Linked DNA regions of Saccharomyces cerevisiae S288C. Changing the gene in region 1 together with any one later gene gives a genetic interaction. Each region holds a gene or a part of one and is shown in the gene's direction. Other genes may lie near its edges.

Region 1 (7,247 bases):
ATTCAGAAAAAGGAACAGTTAGAACACAAATTGAAGCAAAAGGATTTGCAAATGGCCGAGTTGGTTAAGGACCGTGACAGGGCAAGGTTAGAATTAGAAAGATCCATTAATAATGCAGAGGCGGACAGTGCAGCGGCGACAGCAGCAGCAGAAACAATGACTCAGGATAAAATGAACCCTATTCTGGATGCCATATTGGAAAGCGGTATCAACACCATCCAGGAATCGGTCTATAATCTCGATTCTCCTTTGAGTTGGTCGGGTCCGCTGACTCCACCCACTTTCCTTTTGTCCTTATTGGAAAGTACTTCTGAAAACGCCACTGAGTTTGCCACCAGTTTCAATAATTTGATAGTAGACGGCCTTGCACACGGCGACCAAACAGAGGTCATACACTGCGTTAGTGATTTCAGTACTTCGATGGCTACACTGGTGACCAATTCAAAGGCGTACGCCGTTACTACATTACCTCAAGAACAGTCTGATCAAATTTTGACCCTGGTGAAGAGATGTGCCAGAGAGGCCCAATATTTCTTCGAGGATTTGATGTCTGAAAATCTTAACCAGGTCGGTGATGAGGAGAAAACTGATATCGTCATCAATGCCAACGTGGACATGCAAGAGAAGTTGCAAGAGCTATCTTTGGCTATCGAACCGTTATTGAACATACAATCTGTCAAATCAAATAAAGAAACGAACCCACATTCTGAATTGGTTGCCACTGCTGACAAAATTGTCAAATCCTCAGAACACTTACGTGTTGACGTTCCTAAACCATTGTTGTCATTGGCATTAATGATTATTGATGCTGTTGTGGCTTTGGTAAAGGCTGCTATTCAGTGCCAAAATGAAATTGCCACCACGACAAGTATTCCTCTGAACCAATTCTACTTGAAAAACAGCAGATGGACAGAAGGTTTGATCTCCGCGGCAAAGGCTGTGGCAGGTGCAACCAATGTTTTAATCACTACTGCTAGTAAGTTAATCACTTCTGAAGACAATGAAAACACATCACCTGAACAATTTATCGTCGCCTCCAAAGAAGTGGCCGCATCCACAATACAATTGGTAGCAGCATCGAGAGTGAAAACTTCCATCCACTCGAAGGCCCAAGATAAATTGGAACACTGTTCCAAAGATGTTACCGATGCATGCAGAAGTTTGGGTAACCACGTCATGGGTATGATTGAAGATGATCATTCGACTTCGCAACAGCAGCAACCATTGGACTTCACATCCGAACACACATTGAAGACTGCCGAAATGGAACAGCAAGTGGAAATTTTGAAGTTAGAACAATCCTTGAGCAATGCCAGGAAGAGATTGGGCGAGATAAGAAGGCATGCCTACTATAACCAGGATGATGATTGATCATGAATTGTACTTTTTATATATAAAGATAAACGTTAATATAAATATATTTATTTGAAGACGTCTTTTACGTTTTTCTGTATCTGATTGGTATATGCGTTCTCGTCCGGGGACATTTTTTCTTTTTTTGGTGCGGCGAATGGAAATAATCGCGATAATGAATATGCAAGGAACAAAGAACAGACACCCCACCCTTATTATCATATCACATCTCTGTAGGAGTCTACCATTTTGCTTCTATTGTAATCTTTGCGACTTTATTTCAACTCACCATTCATACAAAATTTCTACTGCCGTTTAAAATAAGGAAAGCATAAAGATTAAAGCAAATTAAGAGGAACCCTTTTTTTTTTTGATTTCGATACAATGGCATTTTGGTTACCTCAAAATATACAAAAGCGGCTGCTTCTTTACGTCCTTCAGCAAATTTCGCTGTTCTCCAATATAGATTTATCTAACTTGGACGTTTCTATAGGGTCTAAGTCACATTTCTCGTTCCATGATGTGAATCTGTCACTTGATGATCTCAACATTCCAAACGTGCAAATAAACGAAGGCATAGTTGACGAGCTTGTGTTAAAATTAACAGTTTCTGGCGGTGTGGAAATCGATGGGTCTGGTTTAAGATTTATCATGACACCTTTATATTCCAGTGGCTCACAGGAACTTCACTCAGATTTTTTGGTTAAAAGCATCCAAGATCTTACGAATTCGATGTTACAATTTAGTGATCCATTGACCACATATAATAGGTACAAAGAAGATGACATTAGCTCTTCAGACAGTAGTAGTGATCTCAACTCTAATATAGAAGCTTCAAAACCAGCCGCAAATGGTTCTTATACTCTTCAAAATATGCGGAACAAGGCCCTTAATGTAGCCTTAGCGAAATTGAAAATAGCATTAAAGGACGTTACCATACGTTTCATAGTGAATGATAGAGATCCTTCCGATAACATTGTGGAGGTTCATCTAGAAAGCATACAACTTATTACTACAGACGCAAATTTACGACATATAAACATTGAAAATATCACCATTTCCTCAATACAAAAACAAGCTGTACCCGACTCTCCTGTGCATCCTTTCAATAATGACGATCTGTCACAAAGCGTTTATTTATCAAAAATGGAGGCTACTTCACTTTATATGAGCGCCATGGAAGAGCAATCAAATGAAGACCCCAGTGAACCCCAAGTTACACAAGAAGAACAAGAGAATGATAAGTGCAAGGAATCTTTAATGGAAATAAATAATTTGAACATAGCTTTTAAGGGTTTATCATCGGTCAATGATCTCAGAATGTCTAATATTGTTATTGATATTCAGGATGTTCATTTAGCGATACACAAAATTGTCGAAATCAAAAACTCCACTTTGAAGAATATTATAGATATCATTGTTACACATTTGGATGCCAATGAAAGCTTTTCTTGCCAGGATTCCCAAAGTCCTTCACCTGACAAGCAGGAACCATCAGCTCTTTCTTCTGTTGATATCAAATGTATATACTTAAACTTAGGCCAAGATATCACAGTAATTTTGAAGAGCTTTAAATTAGAGCAAAAGGAAAATAATTCATTGGCATTTTCTTTAGGCTCATTTTATTCTAATTCGAGTCCATTGACAATTAGCCATAAAACTAAGCCATTGCTCACTGGAGAACAAACCCCTCAAAGCATCGCATTAAATATGGGCGACGAACTAGATATTATTATCAGTCATGATGGCATTGCGCATTTCTTTAAAATCTTTCAGTTTGTTTCAAAATGTATGTCCTTTTATCAGAATAAGTCAAAAGGGATGATGCCTCAAATAGCATCGGATACTAAAAGGACCGTACAACTTACCTCAAAAGCAGTGAAGTTGTCGCTTAAGTTTCCATATTTTTTATTATGTTTCCAGGTTTCACCCTTCATTTACGACTCTAACCGTGAGTTGTACATTGAGCTTGTAGACGTATTTAAAAAACTACCTTCTCGGTGCACGAAAATATTGACAATGTCGAGCATTACGATCTCGAACTTGCAATCCCCTCTACAACTGGGTTCATATGACGATACTTTGAAAGAAGCGCTAATTTATAGTTCTGTCCATGCAATCATCAAAGAAGTGATATTTAACGAAGAATATTCTGGAATAGTACAATTAGTCGAAGATATTTCTGCGTTTGGAAAACTTTTCACGGATTCAAAGAACAGTGAATGTACAGGAAAGTCTAAAAGCAAGAGAGGCTCCTTTTTGCAGAGAAGTGTCAGAGTACTTAATTCTTCCAGGTTCGTTTACAAGCAGAGTTTATCCGCTAATTTTTCTCTCAAGATAGATTCCATGAAGTTAAAAGTATCAGAAATTATAGGGCCGCAATTTGGTTCTGTGGAAGCATTACTATCAAATAATTTCTTTGCGATTACGGATGACTCTCAAATTGTATATTTTACAAAGAACTTAAAGGTAGAAAGAAAGACACCGTCATTATTAGAGCCACAAGAAATCATGTCAGTAGTTTTGAATAAAGCAGTTAACGAACCTGTACTATATGTTCATAGAAGGGCGAATGGAAAGTTAAAAGTCATTTTTAACAACATTCGCATACATTACTATGCAAGGTGGTTAGAAATACTAAAGAAAAACATCGGCCCGGATAATGCCAGTTCAAAAGATGAACCTGTTTCACAAAAGCTTAGTAAAAAACAACCGACTTCAGGATTTCCCTGGGAACTCAAATGTCTGGACTGCTCTCTAATTCTGCACCCTTTCAGATTAAAAAGTGTAATGGTCATTGTACTTGACAATCTAACAACTGGTGGAAGTTCATTTATTCCGCAGGCAAAGCTTCTTTCAAAGGCGAATACACTCTTCCTAATAGATGACTATCAGAATTTCAAAATTCAAAAAGATAAGAACTGGCCTAGTTTGATAAATTTTTATGCTGGTCAAGGTTTCTCTGCAATCGGTAAAATAGATACTTTGAATTTTTTAATAAACAAATCCGATGGTGCCCTTTTATTGGATTGTAAAATAGAACAAGTTGGTCTTTCATTATGCGCGGATTCTTTTCAAACTTTTTGTCAGCTTTGTATTGATTTAAAATATCCTCAGACGTTTCCTGATGAGGAAAAATTTAGAACGCAGTTGAAAAATCCTATCGATGTATTCAAAGACATCGATTGTGATCTTTTCAATTCTGCCTTCATCCGGGAGAACAATCATCAAAATGATTACGACTCAGTGCATTTGGTAGACAGTTTTCTCGACAAAACTCACGAGTTCAACAATGGTGCCAGAAGTAAACTATCCTCTCAAGGTTCATATGAAATGGACAGTTCCTCTGGAACTGCCACAGGTGGTATTTTACTTCCCCATGAGAGTTATCTAGACTCTGCTCAGCCAAAAGAAGAAGATACTCCACCAATCGCCTCAAAAGAGCAAGAAAGGGATGTGGATATAAGGGGTAGTATAGATGTCGAAAAAGTTGTTATAAAACTATTCGATGGGTATGATTGGAAATATACGCGGAAATTTATCGCTAATACTGTTGAAAAACTGGATAAAGAGCTCAGTAAAGCGGAAGCAAGCAGTTCGAAATCAAATGTACCCCAATCAGAGGCAAATATTTTTGACTCTATTTATATATCTGCTAACAAAAACAATGTCACAGATTTGAGAAGAAATCTTGATGGTGAGATCCAGGGGGTTCAGAATTCCTTCTCTGATGTCTCTAAAGTTAATTTGCGACCTTCTAAGCATTACAAAGCCCTGATTCAATTGAACAAAGTACATGTCAATTTGAAGAATTATCGAGTAGATGAACCCGATGAGTCTAACTCTGATAATTCCACAGATGTTTTGAACCGATGTGTAGTTTCCATTTACGAATTTGAAATTATCGATAATGTTCCCACGTCCACCTGGAATAAATTTGTAACTTTGCTAAAGCACGAACCGTGGCCACACAGTTCTCCGATGTTTCTTCTGGACCTGGAATTTATCCGGCCGATCGACTTTTTGCAAGCAGTGGAATTAGTCATGCAATTAAATGTTGCGCCTTTACGCCTTCACGTGGATCAAGACACTTTAGAGTTTCTAATAAGGTTCTTAGGGTTCAAAGATAAAAGATTTGAATTAATTGATGAGTATCCAGATATTGTATTTATTCAAAAATTTAGCACTAATTCAATTAAGTTAAGATTAGATTATAAGCCGAAAAAAGTTGATTATGCGGGTTTAAGATCGGGCCAAACTTCTGAATTGATGAATTTTTTTACCCTTGATGGATCCAAGATTATTTTGAAAAGCGTAGTCCTGTATGGATTAAATGGATTCGATGAATTAAATAATAAACTGAAAGCCATTTGGACGCCGGATATTACCAAAAAGCAGCTGCCTGGCGTTTTGGAAGGACTGGCTCCTGTCAGATCGTTTATGGCGATTGGGTCAGGGGTGAAGACCCTAGTCACAGTACTAATGTCAGAATACAGGCAAGAAGGGCATTTGGGAAGGAGTCTGAAAAAGGGTGGCAATGTCTTCTTGAAAACGACAACGGGAGATTTTGTGAAATTGGGAGTTAAATTAACTTCAGGGACACAGGCGATATTGGAGAACACCGAGGAACTATTCGGTGGTGTTGGTTCCAATGGCAGGGTGTACGATGCATCGAAATTTGGCTCCGCTGATGGTGCAGACAGTGATACTGCAGCTGTATTAGACTTGGATACTTTATTCGAGGAGGATCAGTTAGTTGGTAGTAAATATTCCAGGATAAGAGATCATGAGCCCACGGCAGTAGTCATCGATATGTCTTCACCGGGAGATCACAACGAACCCACAATAGTGAGTCTGTACGCAGATCAGCCCCTCGACCTGCCCACGGGTTTGAAGGAGGCGTATAGTTCATTAGAAAAGCATATGCATATTGCGTACGATGCGGTATGGAGGGCAAAGGGACAGATGAAGGATGATAAACGGGGAGGGCCGAGCGCCGCAGCAGTTTATGTTGCTAGAGCTGCACCTGTGGCAATTATTCGGCCGTTAATTGGGGCCACTGAGGCAGTGTCTAAGACTTTACAGGGAATAGCTAATCAAGTGGATAAGACGCATAACGAGCAAATCAATGATAAGTACAAGTCCAATCGGACTGATTCGTAAAAATTTTTGCAGACATTTTTGATATATATTCAATTCATATTTTATCTCTTTTTTTTTTTTTTTTTTCAGACGTGGAATGGTGGGAAAGCCAAAATGTCACTGACCGCGGCTAAAAGTTAAAAAATACATGAGACGACATTCTTTTATGTATATATATTTACACATGTATACAAACAAATACACACGCAAGTAGAGAGGAGTTGGTGGGGGGAAGATGCCATTATAGAGGAGAAAAGAACAAAGAGAGTGAGCTTGCAAGATAAAATCACTCGAAAAAAAAAATTTCAGTGACTTAGCCGATAAATGAATGTGCTTGCATTTTTCTAATTATCCTTCGTATCTTCTGGCTTAGTCACGGGCCAAGCGTAAGGGTGCTTTTCGGGCATAACATACTTGTGTTTTTGCATATATTCCTTCAATCCCTTTGGACCTCTTGATCCGTAGGGGTAAATTTCCGGTGTTGGACCGTCCGGACGCTCTATGTGCTTCAGTAATGGGGTGAATATGCCCCAACTGATATCCAATTCGTCATCTCTGACAAAGTTGGAATGGTCACCCAGTAGGGCGTCTCTTATCAACACCTCGTAAGCCTCTGGAATCCAAAAGTCTTGGTACCTGCTTGCGTAAGTTAGATTCAGATCTGTGACTTGGGTAGCATTTGACAGACCAGGGGTCTTAGCATTAAACTTTAGGTACACAGCGGCATCGGGCTGCACTCTGATGACCAGTTC
Region 2 (4,121 bases), on another chromosome or scaffold:
GAAGTGCTTGCCAAATATCTAGAATCTGGAGAAAAAGTAACTTTTGTTATAGTAGATTCATGTACTCTTGGAACCAACTGAACAAGCTTTAGCTTTTCAACGCTGACGATGGCAACCAAGTTATCGTTAGATGATAATGCAACGAACTTCTTATTTGGGGAGACATCCATCGATGTTATTCCATTCAAATCGAACATGAAGGATGCTGTTTTTAAAATTTTAACACCTTTGGAACTCACACCTAGTTTTAACAAGGAAACTCCATCAGAGTTCGATAATGATGCTGCCACTAATAGCGTATTGTCATTGAGAAACCTGATATTAGAAAGAACAAGATTTTTATCAAAATCCGTTTTCCTTGCTACAAAATTTCCGTCCCTAACAGACGCTACTTCCAAAGAATTAGAAGTGATATATGACAAAAGAATACCGTTAGGGGCGAAGTGCAAATCATTAACTTCCCTACCCGTTTCAATTTCGTAATTTTCCGTCAAATTACGCGGGTCAATGATTCTTATCACAGTGGGCACTTCAGAGGACGCAATTGCAGCTACTGTGGCCCTTTGATTAATGTAAACAAACTTAGTGAAAACGGATGGGTCTGTAGTTCTGTTGAAATCAATACTGGCCACGAATTTTAGATGTTCTTGTTCAAACACAAACTTCCTCAAGTGGTGGTTAACGTTCTCCATGGAGGAATCATTAAACAGTTCATTGCAACCAACTAGAATCAGGTTATTATTACAATCCAATGAAGTGGGCGCATCGTCAATCGAATCTAATGTGATCTCACGAAACCTTCTAATGTGTTTCTTTTTCTGGAAGTTCACCTTTAAAGCTGTAATTTTGTTTGGAAACGAGGAATTGAACTGGCCTCCACCACCAGCCACCAGTAGAGTGCCTTCATTTATAAATTTAGCACCATATATCGGATATCCGACGTCATAGTTTGCAGAGTTGCCACTCATTATTATGCTAGTTTTTCTAAGTTTAAAAGGAGAGAAAAAAAAGGAAGAGAGGACGTATCGTAGGGAATTGTGATGCTTGTTGACAAACAGCCTCCGTCGATCGAAGCAGCTATAAGCGTAGGTTACTTGAAGCGTTCACAGTTCTCATTTACACTGTACAATTCTCGAGATATAAATGAAAATTACTACAACCAAGAAAAAAGGACAGGAGGGCTAAAAGGATAATAAAATAGGGCAGTTACAAATGTGGTCAAAAATACTAGGGCTCAAAATTGCTAAGTAAGGGCTTGACAGATGTAACATAATACGAAATAAACTGGATATCGTTTAATAATTATCAAGGTGATTTAAATCGTAAATACATAGGCTGGGCCATATACACTAACATGTGTCGTGACCAATGTGCAGCAGATAGACTTGCTCATTAAATATATTCCAGGTAGGATTCTCTAAGGGTTTTTTTTTTTCTCTATAGCTGTCACTTTTTTTTTTTTCTCTTATCAATCACAGATATAATAAGCATAACATCGGAAAGAAAATAATGATAGGGCAAAAGGGAAAGCATTTCCAGTTGAATACAGTATCTCTACTATATTGTTGTTCGCTGAAGACAGCCGTTTCCGGAAAAAAGTGATTGTGTGATCGCAGTTACCCGCACCTTTGTTCAACAGTACATAATAAGAATCTGTAGATATAGATGAACTTTCTCTATTACATAAGACTAGCCTAAAAGCCTTGTTTCTATCATTTAAAGGCTTTTGAGACACTCAAATCAGTGTCAACCTTTTGGATAAGTCAAAGAAAGTACGCCGCTGCTCAGAAAATTGTTATCGTGATTGAGAACTGATCTAGGCATTACAATTAAAGGAAACAAGGGAAATATTCTATTGAATGTTGCATAAAAGCCCTTCAAGAAAGAGATTTGCTTCTCCTTTGCATCTAGGATGCATTCTAACGCTTACAGTGCTCTGCCTTATTGCTTACTACTTTGCTTTACCGGATTATTTATCGGTAGGGAAGAGCTCATCCAGGGGTGCCATGGATCAAAAATCTGATGGAACCTTTAGACTTAAGTCTATCTACAGGCATGGCGTCGGAGCAAACCATCGGCTACACCAGAGGCTGGAGGTCACTCCAGAAGTTATTTCTGCCGCTGGAATGCTGTATCAAGAAACCACAACTCAAGGACAGGATTTCGAAGACCAAGAACCCCTATGGACTACTAATGCCGAATATGCCACCACTAACCCATTCGATTTTGAGTTTGAGCTACGAAGGATGCCGCTATTGATGAAGCGGATGAAGGAAAGAGATCCTGAATTCATAGAGTCGTACATTTACGGAGAAACATACATGACGGAGGAGGAAGAACACGCCATGTGGATAGATGATGACATTGTGGCACCCAATATCACAGATAGAGGTACAGTAGTGTCGTTAGCATTAATGTCGTCTAATGCTTACGTGAGAATACCGCAAACGGGAGACTGGCGTAACGTCACGGAGCCGTGGAATGAAACAGAGCCGGAAGATTTTGGTTGGGATGGTGATGGTATACGTGGTCACGTCTTTTACAATGAAGTGGAGAATATCGTGGTACTCTCGATAAAGGGAACCAGCGCTCAGGGTTTGCCAGGGTCTGGCGAAGATGAGACAACTGGAAACGACAAGATCAACGATAATTTGTTATTTTCGTGTTGTTGTGCAAGAGTGAGCTACCTGTGGACTACCGTGTGCGATTGCTATGTGAAGTCGTATATATGCGATGAGTCTTGCCTGGAAAAGGAACTGAGACGTAAGGATAGATTTTACTCTGCAGTCGTTGACATATACAAAGGCGTCCTCAAAGAATACCCCGATGCGGCCATATGGGTCACAGGCCACTCACTGGGAGGCGCATTGGCCAGTTTACTGGGCCGCACTTTTGGATTGCCTGCGGTCGCATTCGAGTCCCCTGGAGAGCTACTACCTTCAAAAAGACTTCACTTACCATTCCCACCGGGACTTCCCTCATACATGGAGGGTATCTGGCACTTCGGTCACAACGCAGACCCAATCTTCATGGGTACATGCAACGGAGCTAGTTCAAGTTGCTCACTGGTGGGCTACGCTATGGAAACCGCGTGCCACACTGGTAGAGTCTGTGTCTACGATGTGGTCAACGACAAGGGCTGGAGTGTAAACATGTTCAACCACAGAATCCACAAAGTCATTGACGAAGTTCTCCTTGGATACGAGCAGGCTGCCAAGTGCGTTGAACCAGAGCCCTGCGTAGATTGCTACAACTGGAAGTTTATTCCAAGCAGAGACTGGGAATCCTCATCGAGGCTCATTACCAAGACTAAAAGCCACGCTGCACCAACCACGACGACTCGCACCACTGCTACTACTACCTCTTCATCTACCTGTGTAGGCCGCAATTGGCTTGGCTTCTGCACCAAATACGAGTTGTAAGACCCATACATCTATTATGACCCTAGTGTTGTTTTAGGGCCTATGCGCCCTTTTTTTCTTCCATTGTCTGATAAATAATGTATCATTTTGACAACTTAAAGGTTCAGCTAAACGACACGAGAAGATATATTAATACTGCTTTAAAGTGAAAGGCGTCAGTCAGGTGCAATTAATAGGTCACATATTCTTTGCTTCAATTGCTCTCTAGCAAACTCACACACTCGTAGATTGGAAGACCGAAGAAAATAGATAGACTTTCGAATAAGTTCAGCAACAACATGTGGTTGAAATCCTTGCTGCTCTGCCTGTACTCCTTAGTACTCTGCCAAGTCCACGCTGCACCTTCATCAGGGAAGCAGATTACCTCCAAGGATGTTGATCTTCAGAAAAAATATGAGCCCAGTCCCCCCGCCACACATCGTGGAATAATCACTATCGAATACTTTGATCCCGTTTCGAAGTCGATGAAAGAGGCGGATCTGACTTTTGAGTTGTACGGTACTGTCGTGCCCAAAACTGTGAACAACTTTGCTATGCTGGCCCATGGTGTTAAGGCAGTTATCGAAGGGAAAGATCCCAATGATATACATACTTACTCGTACCGTAAGACCAAAATCAACAAGGTTTACCCTAACAAGTATATCCAGGGTGGTGTGGTTGCCCCAGATGTGGGTCCTTTCACCGTCTATGGGCCCAAAT

What was found. A genetic interaction does not mean that the proteins touch.
Region 2: of ATG2 (region 1) and ATG15, changing one suppresses a phenotype caused by changing the other (phenotypic suppression), as found in Saccharomyces cerevisiae (one study listed by BioGRID).

Annotation. Positions count from the first base shown.
Region 1 is NC_001146.8:189,587-196,833, forward strand, and holds ATG2 (Atg2p), read left to right. Parts: upstream 1-1,737; coding exon 1,738-6,516; downstream 6,517-7,247. Other genes in the region: SLA2 (Sla2p), read left to right, coding at 1-1,371; ZWF1 (glucose-6-phosphate dehydrogenase), read right to left, coding at 6,840-7,247. UniProt on the Saccharomyces cerevisiae protein: Lipid transfer protein required for autophagosome completion and peroxisome degradation. Tethers the edge of the isolation membrane (IM) to the endoplasmic reticulum (ER) and mediates direct lipid transfer from ER to IM for IM expansion.
Region 2 is NC_001135.5:235,355-239,475, forward strand, and holds ATG15 (triglyceride lipase ATG15), read left to right. Parts: upstream 1-1,859; coding exon 1,860-3,422; downstream 3,423-4,121. Other genes in the region: GTPase-activating protein SED4, read right to left, coding at 1-968; peptidylprolyl isomerase family protein CPR4, read left to right, coding at 3,701-4,121. UniProt on the Saccharomyces cerevisiae protein: Lipase which is essential for lysis of subvacuolar cytoplasm to vacuole targeted bodies and intravacuolar autophagic bodies. Involved in the lysis of intravacuolar multivesicular body (MVB) vesicles.